Linked DNA regions of Struthio camelus. Each later gene encodes a partner of the first gene's protein in a complex. Links are inferred from orthologs where the notes say so. Each region holds a gene or a part of one and is shown on either strand. Other genes may lie near its edges. The genes, in order: RIPK2 and NGFR.

Region 1 (10,599 bases):
TTATCACTTCATATGCTCATGTACATAGTTTTATCTAAGTGATATAGATTAGTGTATTTAAGATTAGCATTCTCTTGTCCTCAGGTTAGTCACAGGCAATACATTTTGATAACAGATATTAAATATTATATGTTGATAGAAAATTGCATTAATGACCCTGAACAAGTGTCCAATTATCTTTATATGACATAATCACCTTTGCTATTTGATTTTAATTGCTTGCCGTTAGCTTTTTTACTGCTCTGCTAAAAAGATGGCAGCTTGCTATCCATTTCCCCCCAGAATTCTGTGGGCAAGAATATACTTCTATTTTTGCTGGGCCTGGCATTTTAAAGCCTGCCATAAAAGCTATGCCACTTGCAAAATATCTGTAAATACCACAAAAATTAAAGTCGTTTAAAAAACAGGGGAATGTGAAGATATAGTCAAAGAAAGGCTGCGTCCATCAGGCAGGACAGGTGGTGAGCACCACAGTCCTGATGCCACTCTTTGGTGAGAGCTATTGGTAGATCTGCTTTCTGAATATTGCATCACTCTGTATGGAAGCGAGCACATAGGAAGCTGAGGGAAGTGAAGAGGGAGACTATGATGCACCTGTAAAATCTGTGCTCCTGTGAAATCTCTTCCCAGATTTTTTCCAGTTAGCTCCAGTGAGGTGATACATCCAGATAGAGCAGCTGGGAAATACTTATTGCTCCCAAAACACAGTCATAGCCTAAGTAGTTGACACAGTCTTCCAGTTTTGATAGTCTTCTGCCTACTGAGATCAAAGAGGAGCATTCAAGTGTCTCCTTTGCTCTTCATTGTAACTCCTGCTGTTACATTAAGTGTTATCAAGCCACAGTCTATGTAACAGACAAACAAACAAGGACAAAGGACCCGAGCCACGCAGTCAGTGTATACTACATTTTGGCAACTGGGTACAAAACAGAAAGATACCCTTTCTAAAGAACACGAAACAAAGAGAAACTACATTAAAAAGTAAGTATTTGGAAACATGACCCAGATTAATTTAGGGAAAAAATTACTGCTCTTGGGGCAGGAGTAAAGAAGTTGTAGAGATTACATCATAAAACCATAGCTTTTCAAAATCAGAGCATCTTGCCTTGACAAAAAAAACAAAACGTTCACCTACCTGTGCTGTTGTGGAAAGGCAGTTAACCTGGCGAATTTTAAAAACACAACTGAAATTTTGTGTGACACCCATAGAAATGAACGTACTAAAATTCGGCTGGATGGAGGGACAAGACTGCAAAAAATTACTTCAGAAACATGAGTTTATCAGTAAAGACATGCATGCAGTATGTACGCTCATCCTTACATATCTGTATAAATAGGGGAGCTGTGTATTTCAGGCCTATCTTGCAAATGGCAACAACCAGTTCCATAGCTGCATGCTCCTCAGAAAAACAAACACATAAACATTTCTGTATTTTATAGCCTCTTCTCAATATCTCTGTGAATATATCTACAGCAGAAATCTAACAGGTCTTTCCAGTTTATGCTGTCCATAGAGAAGAATGTCAGGAAAGAGATTGCACCTCAGTCTGGAAAACATGAGGAATTTTAATTATCATTTTGTTATCTTTTATACAGAGATACAAGGTGTGAAAAGCATTTTACAAGTCCACAGGTACTGAAACACAGTAGCTGCACTCCTTGATTTCACAACCTGTAAACTAAGCTCATCAATGTAACTGTTGTGCTTTCAAAATCAGTTTTGCCAAATACTTCCTAAATTCAAGAGAGAGCGATTTTTTTTCATTCATTGCACTAACAATCAAGGCATGAGGAACATCACAAAAAATGTACTGTTGCTCAGGGTCTTCACTTATCTCATTTATATGTGGACCTTCAGAAATTCCTATGTGAAGGGAAGAATCAGACCAAAGACTTCTCAATCAGAATGAAAAGGTCAATGGGGGAGTACTCATGGAGGATATGAGCAAGTGAAAAGTTGAAAGAAGAAACAACAAGTCAGCTGTTTATCTGCTACACAGTCCAAGCTTTAGTTTTATCAAAAGCTTAATTTACCTTGAGGATGCCCAAATGAGTAGGGATTCTGCCTACAGCCATATGTGAAGGACCTTGAACCTTCTCTTTTAGTACTAAGGAGTACTTTTTATTATTATGTCCATTAGAGAACAAGCAATGTCAAAGGTACAGTGTGTTGTACCAGGTCATTTATCACCTGATACAGTCAGACAGATGACATATTATAGATTACATCACCTATTCATTCAAATGTGGCAGACTAAATTAGGCAAATAAAGAAGTATTGCATAAAAAACATTAAAAGGTGATTAACAGATTAGCAGTTGTTTTTATTAGTATTCTATGCATCTTCTCTATTGCCAACTGCACATTTTCAAATCACAGTTTAATAGACCTGTTTTGCTAAAGGTCTTTGCAATAACAAGCAAAGCTGTCCTGATTTGGTCTGACAGGCAGCCCCAGGAACAGGAAGAAAAATAAATCTACTTGTACATCCCGCTCCTCATGCTCAGGCTCTGGGACCTAGATTCTGACTTTCTGATTTGTGTTCTTTCTTTATGTCAGGATTACTCAGATATAAATAATCAAGTTAATTTGACCGACCAGAAAGTCTGCTTGCTCACTGCTTTAGAACTTCCTACAGATTTAGGGAGTCTCCTCAGTGAGACTCCAAAAAACTGAAGTGGAAAATGACAATGCTTTGAGATTTAAATACGCTCAAGCTTCTTCTAGAAGAGCACTGTATCCCAATAAATACATTGCACAGGAAAGCACAAACTAGTACAGCCACAAGCAGCTTGACTAGACACTATCTCTAGCAGCGTCTGGCCCATACATCTGATCTGATCACCCTTCTCTTCTTGTAACAATCACACATTTGGGAAGTCCACCACATATTCTTCACTGACAAGAGTTATACTTCCTGTAGGAATGAAGTTTGAGGTGGCACCACTGTTGCATAAACAGATATGGGGAGTTTAACATGCGAGTGCGTAATTTCCTCAGTCCTCATTGTACTGAAGAAGTAGAAACTAATCTGAGCCTGCCATTTAGTTACTGACTACCCTTAAACCCCTTACTGATTTTTCTGGCACGTTGCTTTGCACTTATTACAGAAAGGGATCCTGCTTACTTTTAGAGACACCAAAGCGGTTTTAGGCAAAATCAGGAAGTCTGGGAACATTAAAGTTTAGATGTTTTGTATGTGATAAATAGCTGAAATAAGTCTTGTAGTAATGCAGAAAAACAGTTATGAAAGGTTTTTTCTCACAAAATAATTAAAAATGAGTGATTATAAAGAAAATCAACTACACATACTATGAGCGTAACACAAGCCTTTCAGCTATGAAGCTATGAACCAATTCACAGTTGGGAACAGAGTCAACAGGTATTGTTACACGGCCTTCCTGTATGCCACTACAGTGTGTAAACAGACTTGACTTAAAACCTTAATTATGCAGTTACTCTAAAAATCAGAATATCAAATATAATACTTTAATTGACAGTGTGTTATCTTTGACTTTTACAACCTTAACAGTTTCAGCAGAATCTCAAAGGAATATTTTAAAGCTTTGATCTGCACTGAAATTATTTTGTATTTTAGCAGCACAATTTATGCCACACACCTAGAACTATGAAACCTTAAACCAGCTATGATACCATTTAAGTTATCTGGCAGAATACCTTTCAAAATACTAAAGAAAAAAAGGGGGTTTCCAGATGCAGTAACATTTTGTTCTAATTTTCCCTTTCTAACCCCTCTTTGTCTTGGGAATTTCAAGCACCAGCTTATCTTTCCCGGAACTTGTGAGCCAGTGCGGCAGCAAAACATGCAGCTCCCCACCGTGCTATGGTGACGGAGCTCAAATCAAATGCAGAGTTCCTCTTCCCTTTCCAACCTCACGAGTAAGTCCATGTCTTCAAACTCTGGCATAATTCCTAAAGATCCAAAGCAGCAACTAACTACTTATGCCTGTTACTCGTCCTGTTTTCCTTTACTTTGATGAAAATGAAGTCAATTCTGCTTCCACTCCAGTAGCAGAAACTGATCCACTGTTGTATGAAAACAATGTCATACAGCTTGAGTTGATCCAAAACCCGTTGTTGTCAATAGAAATGGGCAGGATCTTTCAAAATAGTGGAAGACATATAAAACCTCCAAGTCACAAAAACTCTCCACATTTTATAATAAAACAAATAAGTTAAAAAGATTACAGTAATATTTTTGGCACTATTACTGCTCTGCCACTTTTAAAATCACAAACCTTTTCTTTTTTTTAGTAATTTAAAATTATAAATAAACAGGAAATCAGCAAAAACATGTGGCAGCAAGATGTGCAATTAACTTTCTGTACAGTGTCTTACAATTTTCAGTACAGGGACCTTTATAAGCCCTTAATGGGATATACCATAAATATGTCTTTACACAGTGTTTCTGTAGTACGTGCTTACCTTTGGTGTCCACCGCATCTTATTTTCTTTAGGTAAGAAAAACTTTCTTATACAACAAAGTTGAAGCAGGGTAACAAGTAACAGTACTCACATGCTAGATGGAGGGAGAGGCATATACATCGAATGGATGTGTAAACCTTGTGTGCCATAATGCCTAGAGATTACTCTGCGGCGAAACCACCTAGTGTATTTGAAGGATAGAGACTGAAATGAAAGCTGAGCGCAGAATAATTCTAGACTTCTTTATATGACTAATATAATGTTACCACTGTTGCAGCATGGGATACATATCCTCCAAAATACAAGAAAACTGGGGAAAGACAGCATAGATTTGCCACTACCTGAAGTAAAGAGGCTGGGACCGAGACGGAGGACCAGAAAAAAAAAACTGTTAGGCCTTAAAACGCCGTTGACGTATTGCACAACGCCACAGGCTGAAAATCTGGCTTCTCTCCCTCGTCCTCCGCTCCCTACCCGCTCCTGGGAGAGGAGAGGGGGGGAAACGGCCTCCAGGCGGCCCGAGGGGAGAGCTGAGGCCCGCGCCCCGCGCCCCCCGCTCCGGCCTCGGCTCGGAGGCGCCTCGCCGCGCCGCCAGGCCGGGGCTCGGCTCGGGGAGGCGCAGGGCCTCGGCACACCTCCTGCGCGGCCCCCGAGCCCAGCTATCGGCTCGCCGGGCGCATCGGCCCGGGCGCCGCCGGGCTGCCCGTTTCCTCCTTCTGGAAAACTCTCGGAATGCTCTTCTGCGGGCGGAGGGCGCTACCCTCCGACACCCGGCGCGGGGCGCCCCCGCAGGGGCGGCGCGACCTGCCCGCCCTCCTCCTCTATCGGAAAAAGTGAGGAGACACCGGGAAGTGCACGAATGAGCGGCGGCGGCGCGGGGGGCGCCGCGCACCTCCCTCCGGCCGCGGCAGGAGCCCTCTCGCCGCCCCCTCCGGGCAGCCGGGAGCCGGGCCGGGCCGGGCCGCTCTGGCTGCGGCGGGGCGGGGCGGGGCGGGGCGGACGGCGAGGACCTGGCCCCGGCCCCGGCCCCAGCCCCAGCCCCGGTCCCGGCCTCGGCGCCGGGCGCGGCGGGGTGTTGCGTCGCGCCGCGTCAGGTCGGGTCGGGTCGGGTCGGGTCGGGTCGGGTGGCGCCTCCCCCGCGGGGCCGTGGAGTCGCGCCTCCCGCGGCGCAGTGCGAGGATGAGCGGCGGGGAGGGTGGCGGCCAGGCGGGCGCCATCAGCTGCGCCCTGCCCTCCATCCCCTCCAACAAGCTGCCGGACCTGCGCTTCCTCAGCCGCGGCGCCTACGGCACCGTCTCCGCCGCTCGCCACGCCGACTGGCGGGTCCCGGTGGCCCTCAAGAGCCTGCAGGGGCCGCTGCTCGAGAGGTACCGGCGGGGGCAGGGGCCGCGGCCCCGCGTCGGCTGCTGCGAAGCGGTGGCGTTGTCCACCCGCCCACCCGTGGGCGAGCCGGGGAGGGGAGGGCCCGTGTGGCGGAGCTCTGCGAGCCGGGGGGGGCCGTGTGGCGGAGCTTCGCGAGCCGTGGCGGAGCCGGGGGGGGGCCGTGTGGCGGAGCGAGTTCCGCGAGCTGTGGCAGAGCCGGGGTGGGGGGGGTCCGTGTGGCGGAGCGAGCTCCGCGAGCCGTGGCGGAGCCGGGGTGGGGGGGGTCCGTGTGGCGGAGCGAGCTCCGCGAGCCGTGGCGGAGCCGGGGGGCGGGGGGGTCCGTGTGGCGGAGCTCCGCGGAGCCGGGGGGGGGGGTCCGTGTGGCGGAGCGAGCTCCGCGAGCCGTGGCGGAGCCGGGGGGCGGGGGGGTCCGTGTGGCGGAGCGAGCTCCGCGAGCCGTGGCGGGGGCGGGGGGGTCCGTGTGGCGGAGCGAGCTCCGCGAGCCGTGGTGGAGCCGGGGTGGGGGGGTCCGTGTGGCGGAGCTCCGCGGAGCCGGGGGGGGGGGTCCGTGTGGCGGAGCGAGCTCCGCGAGCCGTGGCGGAGCCGGGGGGCGGGGGGGTCCGTGTGGCGGAGCGAGCTCCGCGAGCCGTGGCGGAGCCGGGGGGCGGGGGGGTCCGTGTGGCGGAGCTCCGCGAGCCGTGGTGGAGCCGGGGTGGGGGGGTCCGTGTGGCGGAGCGAGCTCCGCGAGCCGTGGCGGAGCCCGGGGGGGGGTATAGAGTATATGGAATATGTAGTGTAGTGCATAGAATATATTACTGTGTGCGCTGCCGAGTGCAGGGACCCAGGATAAGCTTCTCCAAGACAAAACATAATAGATTTTTGCCCCAGATCGCAGGTACTGAGACAAGCTGGTTGGGAATGGTAGGTGTGTAGGGCTCTTGCCTACAGGTGATATCTCCCTTAAGCTCTGCAGCTCAGCCGTCGTGTTCCCCGCTCTTCTGGGCACCAGGTTGTAGCCTGTTTGCCGCAGGAGTTGTCGTCCTAAATAAGGATGCAGCAGGCTGTAGTTTTCTTCCACCTCTGCCTCCTTCACTCTCTACAGTGCCTCTTTTTTAACCAGGTCGATGCCAGTTCATCTTAGGCTGTTGAAGACTATAAACTTGCCCCTTTTTTTCTTATCTAGGTGACTTTCGCCTCCATGAACTCATTTCTTTGGATCTAGTGTTAGGTGTTCAGGCAGAATAACTTCACTGAAGTACAGATAGCCATGTCTATGTGTGCGTTTGTGTGTGTATGTGTACACCAGAGGGACAGGGGGGTGCATATACCTGCGTGTGTGTATATACATGCATGTAAAAACTTTTCAACTTTCCTCAATGTTTTTTCTTTATATTAAATTATCTGCTTCAATCCCCGCTTATCCTGAATATAGCGCTTCTCCTTTCAAATTGATTGGGAAAGAACAGTCAATAGTATTTCTAGCCTTGCCAGAATTTAGATCAGTGTGACATGAAATCCAGGAAGTTTTGACAAAGGGGGAAACTGAGGCAGTCAGAACAACTCAGCCCTCAGCCGTGGATCATGCAGAGCTCGGAAATGCTACGAGAATAACCTAAAGCTGTAAGAAATGCTGCGCCTGAGTTTTTGTGACAAGAAAATTGTCAGTGGTGTTGTAGGTAGCGTAAGAGTTTGGTCTGTAAGTGCTGTCAGGAAAAGGGAAGTTCACAGTGCAGTTAACTCCCCAAACAGGAAGCCTGCGCTGTGCATCCCAGAATTTGGTCTGTGCGACCTGCTGAGCAGCAGAGCCTGTTTGGAAGCTGTTGTGGGCTTGCACTAGCTTTGGCATTACTCAATGCTCTTCCGCTATGGAGCGGAGAAAGGTGAACTAATTTATAGATCCAGGAACAACCCTCGGTATGTTGCAACTTGTTTCCCAGTTACAGCAGAATCTCATGCAGATCTGCCTCATAGCCTGGGAAAACCCCTACTTTCTCTAAGCTAGTGTTTTTTGGAAGGAGAGAGTTACATCCCTGGCTTTCCTTGAGGCCTGCCTTTTCCCTCAGATCATTTTCTAGAGTTTCCTGTAACAGGAGGGTTTTTTTTTTTCTCCATCATGAAGATGTTTTGCTTTCTATTTCCTACATATTGAAAGCAATTTCACATACCTCTAAATTTTAAATTCTTCTGTCATAAAAGCAGCAAGCTTTAGTTTTCTAGGCTTCCTTTTTTCCCCCATGTACTCTGAAGGCCTTCTGATTGTGAGGGCTAGGTCTGCACTGACGGGTCCAGACAGACTTGAACTCTTCTGTCGATCCAGCGCAGGGCACAGACTAAAGCCAGCTCTCATCTGGGAGCGGTATGGCCGTATTAATATGGCAGTGCACTGAGCAAATCTTGATCGGCGTTGACTGTTAGCCTGTGTGCAGCCCTGCACACCTGATGGCTTCTGAATCAGGCTGCCTGGTCAGTCTTAGATGGGCTGCAATAGTCCAGCATTTGGATATCCCAGTCATGCACTTGTATCTGTACCAGGCTCCACTGATGTAAAAGCTAAATCTTTTTTTCTTAGAATTATCTTTCTTAGTCCGAGTATCCTCAGTATTAATAACCTGTTTGTTCAAGAACTTTTGAGACATAAAACGTGTCAAAAAATTGTCTTCGTTATTCTTAGGAACAGAAGTGTACTCTTACTTTGTTTTAAATAAAATTTCAGCTGCTTATATTCGTATGCAGCAAGGTATACTTACATGTTTGTAAAGATGCCTCAAGTTCACGTTTATGAGGAGGCTTGGCCTTAGCAAAGAATATTCACACCACCGAATTCAGGTGGTCAGGTGTCAGGTCAGCTTCGCTGTGCTCCCTGTATAATCAGAGAGCACTTTCTCCAGAGGCCAATTCAAACAGGGCCCAGTCTAAGAGAAGAGTTTATGTGATGACAAAGCATACTTGATCATTACTTTTCCTTCAGAAACTGAAATTGTACTCCTTTAACCGACATTATTTTAGTGCACAGCAGTGCTGACTGAGTTAAAACAATTGGAGACCTGTGAGCAAAGTGTTAAATTCTCCATTTTACAGTAGACAAATAGTGGTCGTCCTTGAAAACTCAATATTTGAAGATGGGCAGTAAAATAGGATAAATATAGTTAGATATTACTGTCATTATGGTTAGACAGGATGGTAGAAGTTGGAGTTCTCGTTATGTCCTCATTTACTGGAAACACGGAGGAAATGTGTTGTGTGGTACAACAAAACTAGAGAAGCTATCTTGTGCTTGCATTTGTAGATTCTAATTTGTCTTTCCGTATTTTGTTATAGAAACTGCGTAGTAGGAAATAAATTGTGAAAGATGGTGCTACTGCATATAGGAACACAATTATATAAAGTGAATTGAATGAACCTTACCTTTGCAGTATTAGTACAGTAACCCCTTTTTTCCTTTTTCTTTAAGTGATAGAAACCACCTTCTGAAAGAAGCAGAGATATTACACAAAGCCAGGTTTAGTTACATTCTGCCAATTTTAGGAATTTGCAATGAGCCTGAATTTCTGGGGATAGTAACAGAGTACATGACAAATGGATCATTAAACCAGCTTTTACATGGGGTAAGTCTGCTTGAAGCTCTTCAATACAATCCCTGGTTGGTTCAAATATACTGTGATATCCATTCTAAAGGGAAGTGGTGTAGTAAAATTTAATATTAATAATATTTCAAGTTAAAGAACAGCCAGCATTGGTACTGGTTTTCATTGCTCAGACTTTCTTCTCCCTAAAAAGACAGCTGAAGTCAGTAGACTTCAGTTTTAATACGCTCTTTCCTTTAATACTCTGCTCTGTAACTCGCTTAATGACGAATTATTATATATAGTCACTTAAAAAAATCTCTGAGGTTCTCTAGTTAGAAGCAGAAGTAGTTACGCTCACTTCGGTCTGTGTTTCAGAAATGTTGGCAGTGTAAATATCACAAAAAGATGGATTTATCTCCTTAAGATGACCTTTTTTAAAAAAATTGAATATTTTGACTCTATATTTGCGAATATTGCAAATCTAAGCAGATACGGATATTTCTGTTGGGCCTTACTTTCAAGCGTAGGTCAGCTTGTGCTGAGCTCTCAGCTGCTTCCGCTAGCTTGATCTGAGCATCCCATGTTCTAGTTTAAAGCTACTGCAGTTGTCTCCACAGCACTGTACCTCTTCTGTACCTTTAATCGGTACATACCTCATGCCTTAGAGAAGTCAACTGTGTATTTTTCGTAAAGGCATTAGTCTCGGTGTAACTTTAATATTTCAGTGGAAAATTCCTGCAATATTTGTTGGTGTACTTATATTTTCAAAGGTGGCATTTTATGATTAGTTTCACAGTATCTGGAAAAGGCACAGAAGTAAACTCAAAAAATTTCAGTTGAGTTTTGCCTGTACACTGACATGCAGAATGACTTTGACCTGGCATGTCCGTTCCTTCCCTCCCCCACCATGTCAACTGAAGATACGATTCTTGCTTTCCTTTGAATAATACTTATAGTCTGTGGGTTACAAGTGTCATGTAGGAGTTCATCTGTCAATCTTATTTCCATATGAGTAGCATGGTAAATGTGCTATTAACACATTATGTATAGCAGTCATGAGCTATTACATGAATGACAGGCAATGGGAATGTAACTTTGCATGATTGAGAATCATACTTTTGTTTTAACAGCTGATCAATTTCAATGCTCAGTTATACTTTTGTAAGGAGTTGACATAATAAATGCTTTTAAAGAGTACTGGTTGTGCAAGTCGCTTTCTTCTTAT
Region 2 (10,288 bases), on another chromosome or scaffold:
AGGCTTGGTGCCCCGGCAGCGGGATGCTCCGGCTCGGAGCCGGCACAGGTCCGAGCTAGCTCATACAGGAGCCCCAAGGTTACAGCCGGGCACGCGGTCGGTCCCCCGGGCCGCTGCTGCCCGTCGCTCGCAGCGTAAGTGCCGTGCATTGATTTTGCAGGAAGGCAGAGGTATTTTTAGCGCTACACTGACACGCTGCTCCGTTCCCCCGCTCCGCGCCGGCGCTGCCCTGACTTTCTGGCAGCCCTTTGGCTTGCAAAACCGGCATCCCTTTCCCAGGGCTCGCCAGCCCCTTCCCCTGTCGCCCCCCACCCTCGGGGCGGCACGGGCTCGGATGGCTCAGACGATGCTGCTCGTGCCTGTCCTCAGCCCTGTTTGAGGCCTTCAGAGAGTTTGCAGCAGTAAATTTAGGGGGCAGATTGCTTGTGCATATCGTGGCATTGTATAAATAATAATAGTTGGGCCGCTTCATCTGTAAGCATTTATCCAGGTGGCCAGCACTCATCTCTGACTTTTAGGAAGTGTTTGGCAGAGGCAATGTGCCTGGAGCCGGCCGGCAGCAAGCTCTGCTCCCGCTCTGGTGGCGACCGCTGTGATTTGCCTCGCTCCCACCAACCTCGCTTCTATTCTGCAGGTTTTGCTGCCTTAAAAAATACAGGGGGCTCATGGGGAGACGGGGGCCGGATCGGAGACCAACGCGGAGTCGGCCTGGGGAGGGGAAAGTGTCGGAGGCAAAGCTTGGCCACTGACCCGTAGCTGGGGAGCCTTCGGGGAAGGAAGGGAGGAAGAGGGACGTGGCAACGTGCCGTGGGCTGAAGGGGTTTTGCCCAGGCTGCTGCCCCAGAGCTGCCGTGTCTGGGGCTGGGCACGGGTGTCCCGTGGCTTTGGGGAAATGCTGGAAGTAACCCTGACATCTGGGCTGCTCGGGTGGAGGTTGGTGGCCTGGGAAGGCGGCGAGCACGGCGGAGCTGGTGCGTGCCCGGGACTTCTGCTCCCTCGTTGAGACAAAGGGCAAAACAATCTGCCGATCCCGCCCAAGCAACGCTTCCGGGGAAGGCAAGAGGATGCACGCGGGGAGAGCCGAGGCTCTGCTAACGCTCACGACGCCCAAAGCCCCTCCGGCGGAGGGGAGCGCGTGCCGCCCTACTCACTGTCCAGGCAGGGCTCGCAGACGGTCTGGTTCACGCCGCAGGGCTGCACGACGCCTTCGCCCAGGTTGCAGGCTTTGCAGCACTCCCCGCTCGTCGTGTACATCTTGGTGAAGCACTTGTCCTTGGAGGCCCAGGCGGGTCCCTGCCAGAGAAAAGGGAGCCCGGAGGCGACTGTCGTTACGGGGCTTGCCCCTTGCGAGGGCAGGTGGAGAAACGCATCCCGTCCGGGCAGCGGGCGATTCGGGAAACCTGGGTCCCAGCTCAGTGCAGTGATTTTACTGTATGTGGGGACCTGAAATCAGAGCCCCCCCGCAATGGAAGTGACTTTGGAGAGAGCCCCGAGACCCTTAGCGGCGTTGCTGCCTAACGCAAGGCAGCGTATTTGCTTGCAGAGCAGCCTGCTGCCTCATCTGGAAGCAATAAACCCGCCGCAAGCGGTGCGGTCAGGGCAGCTCTGCACATGCACTTTGCAGCTCTGGGAGCGTTCGCGGACCGGCCGGTCCCCAAAACACCTCTTGGCCGGGTCCGCTGGGGCGTGGGAAGCGGGGCTAGGGGCTACCCGAGTCTTTGCCAGGGCTATTTCTTGCTCCCTCGTGCTGCAGCCAGGGCTGCGTTTGTGCAGAAGGAAGGATGGGCAGGAGGGGCAGAAGGTGCTGGGGACGCTGAGCTAAGCCGTCTTTGCAGGAAGAAACGCGAGCTGCCGCCTGCCCGGGGCCGGGAGGCGATGCCGCCTCCCCGCGTCTCCGCTCCCTGGGCCTCCGGCTGCCTTGTCGGCCTCTTGGCCGCCTCCTCGGCCAGCGCCGGTTATGAACTCGGCTCCAGTTATGAACTCGGCTCTGTGCATCATCCGGCCGGAGACAATGGAGCGCCAATTATAGGCATTTGAATGACAAAGTGCTCCAATTACCCTGCGCTTGAAAGCATGTGCTCTGGGCGCTGGTGCTGCTTCGCCGCCCTCCGCGGCGCTGGGCCCTGGCACCGGGGGGGGGGGGCGGGGACCCTCCCTGCACCCCCAGACGACAGCTGGGAAACGGGCTTGCTTCGTGCAGCCGGATGCCTCTCCAGCGGGACAAATCCAGCTCGGCCGGAGCTTGCCCGCGGCACCTCCTGGCAGAGCGCGGGCTGCCGCTCGCCAGTCCCCCCGGCTGGGGCAGGGGTCTGCTGCGGCGTGGGGGGGTCCTGGCAGGCGGCCCGCGCCGGGGTTGGGGGGGGGAGCGGCAGCTGGACCGGGGGAGCTACCGAACGCGCCTCGCTATAAATAGCGCTGGGAAGGAGCGGGCCAGCGCAGCTGGGGCCGACGCGGCCAGCTCTCCCACGCCGCTCCGTGCGGGCTGCCCCGGCGGGGTCTGGCTGCAACGCTTCCTTCCCGGACCCCCCCCCCCGGCCCCAACCCCGGCTCTGCCACCCAGGGATGCCCTGCATCGCGACGCAGGAGCCGCCGCTGCCGCCTGTCCCTGCCCGCCGGCCGCCTCGGCGCCGCTCAGCGGCGTGCAAAAACGTGATATCCCAAACCCCCGGAAAGACCAGGGCGCTTGCAAGAGGGGCGCGGGGGTCCGCGCGCGACCGCTGGCACGTGCGCCTCGTTACCGCAGCGCCTGTTGACAAAGCCGCAGGTATTAACGCCGTAAAGCGTTTTTGACAGCTGGACCGAAAAGGGGTTTTTTTGGGGGGGGGGGGGGGATTGGGGGGGGACGTGCTGAGGGTGAGCACGACGCCTTTGCGGGCTTTTAACCGCTTGCTGAGTGGCGCCGGCCCGTTTTGCTCTCGCGGCAGAGCGGGCCGGCGTGGAGCTGGCCCTGGAGGAAGGGTTCTCGCAGCGCGCCGGTTCGGCGACGCACCATCGCCATCACCGCCGAAACGCTGGCGCGGAAAAGGCGCTGGGGCGGGGGGCCGGCCTCGCCGCCGCGGCTGGAGACGGGCCCAGCTGCAAGCCGGGACGCGAAGCGCCCGCCAGCCTGCCGGGGCGGGGGCCGCCGCGCTTCTTGGCGATGTGCCCCCACCTCCCACCCCCCTTTCTGGCTCCGAGCGATCCCCAAACTTGGGGCAGCGGAGGGAGGAAGCCGCGTCTGAATCCGGCGCGTGCCGCCAAGCCTCGGCGCGGCGGGTCCCGCGGGGCTCGGCCGCCCTCCGAGCGGTGCGGGCCGAGAGCGGAGGCGAGGGGCGGCACGGCTCCCACGGCCGGGTTGTCGGGCCGCTGGCCGCAGCGGTGGCCGCACAGCTGGATCGCGGCCCCCCCCCGGGCAGGAGCCGGAGCAGCAGCCGGGCTCTGCCCGCTCCCTCTCCCGGCTCCCAGGACCGGATGGACTTGGCAGGTCTAAGCCTAGGGGGTCACATCCAGCGCTAAACGCCGGCAAGTGCCCTGGCGACGAGCCGCCGCCGTCCTCTCTCGGCGCTCAGCCGGGACCCCGCGAGGTGGTCGCGGGGGACGCCTACGCCTGGCTGCCCCCCCTCCCCGGGCCGTTGTTCCCCGGGGGCGAAATCGTTTCAATCGATTCCCCAGCACGGTTCCTGCCTCTCCGTCTGCCACCGAGCGGCCTCGGGGACGGGGCGAGCGCGGCCAGCCCCGCTCCTCTCCGCAGCGGTACCCGGCGTCCGCGGGGATGGAGACCCTCCGGAGCGGAGCAAGGAACAGCGCTCTCCATCCAGGTCTCTGCGCCACACTGGCTAAAGCACCAGGTTTAACGCCCCGTCCGAAAGGTGTCCTGCTGCCTAACGAAACCTCGGGGACCCGCACCAAACCGTCCTGCAGCAAAAGCCCTGTGTCTGCCCCAGGCAGGGCCGTAGGTCTGCTCTGCTCCTGGTTTTTCCCCTCTCCTGGGCTCCCCCTTGCCCCGAAGTCTCGGCTCCGGTTGTCGCCCTTGCTGGGGGCTCGCCCCGGGGAAGGGGGCTCTTTCCCACGCTCCGGGGAAGCGGGTTTGGAGCCGGGAAGGGCAAGGCAGGTCTGGGGGAGATGTGCAGACACCGGAGGGTGGGAGATGGGGCTACCAGGGTGGGGATTGCTTTCTCCCCCCGCCGTGCACTGCCCTTTGTATCAGCCTTCCCGGTGGAAAAGGGTGACTGAGCCCCCTGCTCGGGGTAGCGCAAGCCGTGTCTGCCCGGTCCCGCCGCCCCCCCCTGCTCCCTCCCTCGGCACCCAGGGGTGCTCTAGGCGGGTCCCCCGGGACCCGCCGCTCCCGTATCCTCAGGACTCGCCATCCCGGTGCCTCGGGGACCCTCCAGCCTGCGTGTTTGGGAGTCCCCTTGCTCCAGCCCGGTGCCTCGGGGTGCCTCTGCCCGGGCTGCGCAGCCCCCCCCCCCCCGGGGATGCTCCATGGCGGGGCCCCTCCGGGCGCGCCCCGGCACTCACCGCCGGCAGCAGCAGCAGCAGCAGCGGCAGCAGCGGCGGCGGCAGCGGCAGCGGCAGCAGCGGCGGCGGCAGGAGCCCGGCCATGGTCCCCGGGGCGGCGGCGCCGCCTCACATCCCCCCCCCGCCCCGAGCCGAGCAGCGCCTGCCGCGGCCGGGCTGCCTCCCTCTGCCCGCCCGCCGCCCCGGCAGCGGCGAAAAAAGGCCTGCAAGTCCCTCCTCCTCCTCCTCCTCCTCCTCGTCCTCTCCGCCCCCGGAGCATCGCGCCAGCCAGCACCCTGCTGCCGACCCCCGGCAGCCCCCCGCGCCGCGCCCCCGCCGCACCTGCCGCCGCCGCCCGCCTGCCCCCCTGCACCCTCGGCCGCCCGCCCGCCTCGTCCCGCTCCGGCCCCCCGATGGCTGGTCACGTCGCAGCCCGCCGAGATGCTCCGGGGCGCACGGGATGGGGTGACCGGACCTCCTCCAGGCAGGGACAGTGGTCCCGCAGGCGCCCGCTTTGGAGACACCCCCTCGCCCGGGCACCCGAGCTGCTGCCTGGCCCATCGCAGCCCTCGGGGACCGGGTTGGGGGGGGCGACGTCCCCCCCGTGCGCGCCCCAGGGGGACCGTCCGTAAACCCACCCTCGGCACTGACGCAACCGCATCGGTTTCCTTCGCGTCCTGCAAAGCTTCCCGCTTTTATTACAAGGACAACTCTGTCTTGCTTCGGCCTGAGCCTGCAGCGATGGGTTAAACCGCGCTAGCGGGCAGAGAGGGTCGAAAGCGTCGCGGCCTTTCCCCGGCCTCGGTGACGGACCCCGGCCCGGGCAGCTGAGCGCGGTGCTGCCGGTGGGGGGGGGCTCGCCAGAGCGCGCCGGGGCCGGAAGGGCTCTTTCTGGGGGGGTTTTATGGTGGCTTTGATAAAGCAGGTTGGTTTGAAAATGACCCAGCGGACGCTGTCGGGTGCCACTGTGCCCCGAAATGTCCGCTAGGCCGGGCGGCAGCAGCGAAGGTGAGCGGAAACTTCTGCTCCCGGCGTAACCCTCCGCGGCTGCTTCGGCGAACGGTCTCGCCGGCGCTTTTCCTTAAATCCCCCTCGCGCGTTTTTCTGTCCCAAAGAGCTCGCAGCCCTTTCCTGGCTCTGTGCAGTGACGGAGGGGCTCTTAAAGGTCTGCGGTTGCCTCTGCGAATTAAAACCAAAGGCTCAAAGGATTTATTTGCTGGCGGAGCGCAGCTTTGATGTGGCTCGCTCTGGATCGACCCTGCGGCAACGCCGAGCGGGGCCAGAGCCTGCGCCGGCATCGCCCTCCGCTTGCACCCTGCAGCCGGAGCGAGCTGCACGGCCGGCGAGGATGCGCGAGGCCGTGTCGTTGGCCGGCGCGGATGGAGCAGGGTGGAAACGTCGCCGGCAAGAGCTGCTCGGCGAGGCCGGGACGGCCGCGCTCGCGGGTGCCTCCCTCCCCCGGATAAAGGCAGGTTTGACTAGCGAAAGCCCAACTGGTGAAATATCCCATTAAGTCTCGCTCAAGGACAGAGCATCCTTGGAGCAACGAGCTCTCTCGCTCTTCGTCTTTAGGCTCGGCCGGGTCTTCCCCGAGCGCTCGTGAAGGCCAAAGGTGTCCGAGCGAACCCAGGCGAGCTTGTCCCCCGTCGCCCCACGAGGACCCACCGGAGCCCCCAGAAATAGGCTCCGGTTAAACACTCCCCGCTAGTTCCTGCCTGCAAACTTTGTATCGATTTTACTAAAAAGCGTAGGTAATTACTTTCCCGACAAAGACAGTAGCGCGGTAATGGTAAGTTATAAATAACGATGAATAAATAATACATATCGAGACAATCTCATCGCGCTGCCCGGGCCGTTCACAGCCAGGGCTGAGAGCATAAATAAAGGGCTGCAATGAGCAGAGCGCGCAAAAAACCATTGTGAAACGGGCTTTGGTGTCCGGCGAGGCGAGAGGCGTCATCGGTGGGCTGGGACCGCTGGGGAGCGACGGACGGGCCGGGCGGGAGCGCGTCCCTTCGCGGGGAACGGGGAGGAAATCCGGGCTGGGGATAATCCCAGAGGGTGATCTGCCCAAACGCGGGGCTATTGCGGCTGCCTTCAGGCAGGGCTGGAGGATTGCACCTTGCCAGGAACCGTAAGGGTTTTTCTCCAAAGACAGTCTCTGGAGGGTGGAGAGGAATTCATATAAACAAGGCTTTTTTTTTTTTTTTGGTTAAAGAAAATTCACTTTTTCCAATAGGAAATGAGACCTTTTCATTTGAACCATTTTGGCCCGCTTGGGACCCTTGGCGAGAGCCAAGCCCACCGCTGGAGAGCAGGAAGCAATGAGCTGAGGCCAAGGGCTCCCGTGGTATTTGAGCCTCTGATCCTCGTTTAAATCAATGGGATTTAGGCACGTAAAAGCTTTCGAGGATCCAGTCCAAGGTCGACGCGCGCGGAGCGAGGCGCACAGGCGGGCTGCTCGCCTGCGTGCTCTCCTCGGCGTCTCTGCAGCTCCAAAACCGCCCGCTTATTTCCCGTGAGGGGGCCGACGGGGAGCGCGGGGAAGAACGGCTCCGTCTCAAACTGCGATCTAGAAACGGCCGAACGCCTTCCCCGGCAAAACCGCAGCCAACGCACGCGGCTCCGGGCTCGGAGCTATTTTACCATGGCAAAACTGCTCCCTTGGTTTAGAAAGCTGGGGAGGGATTGCTGATAACCCCCCCACACCCCTTTCCCCTTCCTGGAGCGTTGCAAGGACTCACTAATACCGGTGTGTCCGGGGAAGAGCCGCGAGAGCCGGGTCTCCGACTCGGAGGTGCCCTCGCGGCTCCCGCATCCTGCCTCCAAATCAGTGCAAGGCACTCGCCCAGGGCACGGCGGCCCCGGCGCAAGGCCCCGTCCCTCCTGCCGCCGTCCTGCCCGGCACTGGGACCCCGCGGGGCGGCCGGGCTGGTGCGGGGCCACCTCGGTGCCTGGGCACCCCTCTGCAGGGCTGCGAGGTTGGCTGTAGCCCCCGGGTAGCCTGGAGCAGCTGGATGCTGGCCCGAAATCGCCCCGGTGGGGAGGATCTCGGGTCGAGGGTGTTCGGCTTCGGGCTCGTGAGGCTGCAGCACCCTAAACCCGTCGCTCTGAGGTAGAAGGGATATAACATTCCCCAACTCCCCAAAAACCTGATTTCCATTAATATCAAAGTGTTCCAATCTGGTTTTTATTACACCCCTTGATATCCATTCCTATAATTTCTCCTAATGCTTCTTTCTAATCCTCCAGCCTCTTTTTCCCTTGTTAATCTCCTGCTTTCAGGTTGCCCATCCTCCCTTTGTTCCTTTTTTTCCTTCTTTAACTGTTCTTTCAGTGCAATCCATCACCCTGAAGAGCAGCGGGGGGTATTCATGGTAATGTGTGAAATGAATCTTTGGTTCCTTATAAGGAATGACCGAAGCAATCTCCTGAGAGCAGAGACCACAGTGTCCAGGAAACTCAATCCCTTCTCGGGATGGAGCGATGGTAAAATAGTGAGACAGTAAAAACAGACCGTGATTTCCCTCCATCTCCCTCCCCGAGAAACGAGACTTTGCAAAATTTAAAATGAGAGACTGCATTCAGAGCCAGGCAAGGGGCAGAAAAAAAGTCACTCCTGGTGACACGTATAATAAAGGACATAAATATGTCCACAGCAGCAAGAGTATCAATATTTTTCTGGTTAAGGTATTGATTGGTTCCACATGTCAGGGGCAGGGCTGGCTTTCTTCTCACCAGCCCAGCTTTTGGGAACCCATTGATTCAGTTTTGTTGCTGATGGATCAAGAATTTTGCTGTTGGGAGGAAATGAATGTCAAACCCTTGGCTGCGTCGATAAGGACGGAGCAAGGCAGGCGGCGCAGCCTGGGCAGCAGGACTCAGCGGGAGGTTTTTCCTGGCTCTCTCAGCTGTTTCTTTTTTTTTTTTTCTCCCTCCCTGCAAAAAATAGGCATTAATTTTAATGACTCGATGCTTACTCTGTTATGGGATGTTTTTTTCAGCTGTTTTTTTCAGACTGCATGTTGCCCAGGCAAGGTCCAGGGGCGTTTTGCCTCTTCCCCCCAACTCCTGGCATCTGCCCCACACCAAGTGGGGTCTGTGTTGGCGGACGTATTAGCAATACAGCTTGCAACTTCACCGTGCCTCAGTTTCCCCATGCATCCCTGCCGAGCTCAGAGCTAGCTGGAAAGGGGAGCTGCTGTTTTGCTGCGTGCATAGAGCTATTGGGGCTCTTTCCAGGACCGCTCGGTTAAAGCCCCTGCGGACGGGCGTTTCGTCTCCACCTTTGAGCAGCATCCTGCACCATCGCGCTGCAACTTCCTCCAAGCCTTTCATAAACCTGATCAGATTAGAGCTTTATAACGAACCCAGACCTCTCCTGATGCCAGCCAAAGCCCGGCCGCGGGGGCTGAACATCCCGGCTGGCGGCTGAGTGCTTTCCAGCAGGACGAACCGTTTGCCAATTAGCTCTGTCTCTGCATATTTCATTAGCCACCAGGCTTGCACCAAACCCGCCGGTGCCTTGGAGCTAGAGGGCTGCGTCCGCCAGCCCCAGGAGAGAGAAAACTGAGCGCAGCAGTGCCTGGGAAAGGCTCTTTTTTCATTTTATGCTCCAAATTGCAGCTCTTAGGACAGCACGTTTCCTCCCGGGCAGGCCCTGGTCGAAGGGTCCCGGGAAGGGCACGTTGCTGCTCTCCAGCCTGGGCCACCCAGGGCTGGGTAGCAGCGTCGGCTTTTCCATATGGATGTAATTACACTGCTAGAGCCCCGGTATGGATGCCTACAGCCCAGGAGAGCGCAAAGCTGCTCCAGAGCCTCCCGGCATCTGTCGGTCCCGCAAGCTGAAGCCCTGCAACGTGGTGGTGGTTGTCCGGCTGTCACTGGTGCAGGCAAACCCGGCGAGAGGAACCTTAACGATAACCGCTTGTTCTCCTTCTAACGCAACAATGCAATCCGCCACATTGAAAGGCGAAAGCTTCGTATCGTCTCCTGCAGTTTTGATTACAATTCAAAGTATTTTGGAGCACTTAGCGGGGGAAAAAGAGCGTGAGCGAGTTTGGCTTCTTGGAATAATGACGGTGTCGGGGATGTCAGCTAACGCGGGTGTGTCGTGCGACTCCCGGGGACACCACGGGGGATGCAGCGGGGCCGGCGCGGAGCTGGCAGCGGGGCGGTGGGTTTGCCGCCGAGACGCCGCGGCTCGGTGCCCCGGCGCGGCCGCCGTGCGCGGTGGGGAGGTTTCGCTTGCACAGTCTGAATTCGGCTCCCTGACACCGATGCCAAGGAGGGTGAAAGCTAAGGCAAGGAGGGAGCGGGAGCAAAGAAGTCCAGGCTGACGCTGGGCGATAATGTCCCTATGGCAACTGCTTTCAGCAGGCCCCGGCTGCAGCATCCTCCTCCTTGCAGCCGCTTTTGTGTGCGTCTGAGCACAAAGCGGAGGCACGAAACCTCCCAGCCTGGCCCAGGGCAGGAGCAGATCACAGGCTGTTTTCCACCGCGGCGCTGCAAGGAGAGGAGGCCAATGGGGGGTTTTCTGCTTGGAAAGCTGGGCTGGGATGTCCAGCGGTGCAAGCGACCCCGTTCCAGCCTCACACGCTGCTCGGGACACGCTGGACCCATGTGTTCTCCAAATGCTTTGTTCCAGCTTTCCTCCAACCCCCCAGGAGACTGGCTTGAGGGCCAACCTGGAGTTTAAGCCCTTGTGTCCCTGCAGACCCCCCTCCTCTTGTCTTTTTCCCCAAATTGTCCACTTTCAAGGATGCTGGGGGCCTCCGTAGCCTCATCCCAATGATGCTCAGGCAAGTCGGGG

Evidence for each region.
Region 2: the proteins of RIPK2 (region 1) and NGFR are in contact, whole or in part, in an NMR structure (PDB 2N83), measured with the Homo sapiens proteins. The link is inferred for Struthio camelus from reciprocal best matches to the Homo sapiens genes RIPK2 and NGFR. Residues at the interface, in NP_003812.1 of Homo sapiens: Gln437, Ser465, Arg466, Asp467, Leu468, Met470, Glu472, Asp495, Ile496, Gln497, Gly498, Glu499, Glu500, Lys503, Ile523, Leu524, Val526, Ser527, Arg528, Ser529, Pro530, Ser531, Leu532, Asn533, Leu534, Gln536; in NP_002498.1 of Homo sapiens: Gly334, Leu335, Ser338, Leu339, Pro340, Lys343, Val347, Ser354, Ala355, Asp357, Arg360, His361, Gly364, Glu365, Tyr368, Pro370, Ile373, Asp374, Leu398, Asp399, Leu401, Leu402, Arg406, Arg407, Ile408, Gln409, Arg410, Ala411, Asp412, Val414.

The regions. Positions count from the first base shown.
Region 1 is NC_090943.1:151,162,802-151,173,400, reverse strand, and holds the start of RIPK2 (receptor-interacting serine/threonine-protein kinase 2), read left to right. Parts: upstream 1-5,516; 5' UTR 5,517-5,625; coding exon 5,626-5,813; intron 5,814-7,288; exon of another isoform or gene 7,289-7,428; intron 7,429-9,259; coding exon 9,260-9,413; intron 9,414-10,599.
Region 2 is NC_090966.1:5,124,847-5,135,134, forward strand, and holds the start of NGFR (tumor necrosis factor receptor superfamily member 16), read right to left. Parts: upstream 4,643-10,288; 5' UTR 4,582-4,642; coding exon 4,498-4,581; intron 1,294-4,497; coding exon 1,152-1,293; intron 1-1,151. UniProt on the Homo sapiens protein: Low affinity receptor which can bind to NGF, BDNF, NTF3, and NTF4. Forms a heterodimeric receptor with SORCS2 that binds the precursor forms of NGF, BDNF and NTF3 with high affinity, and has much lower affinity for mature NGF and BDNF.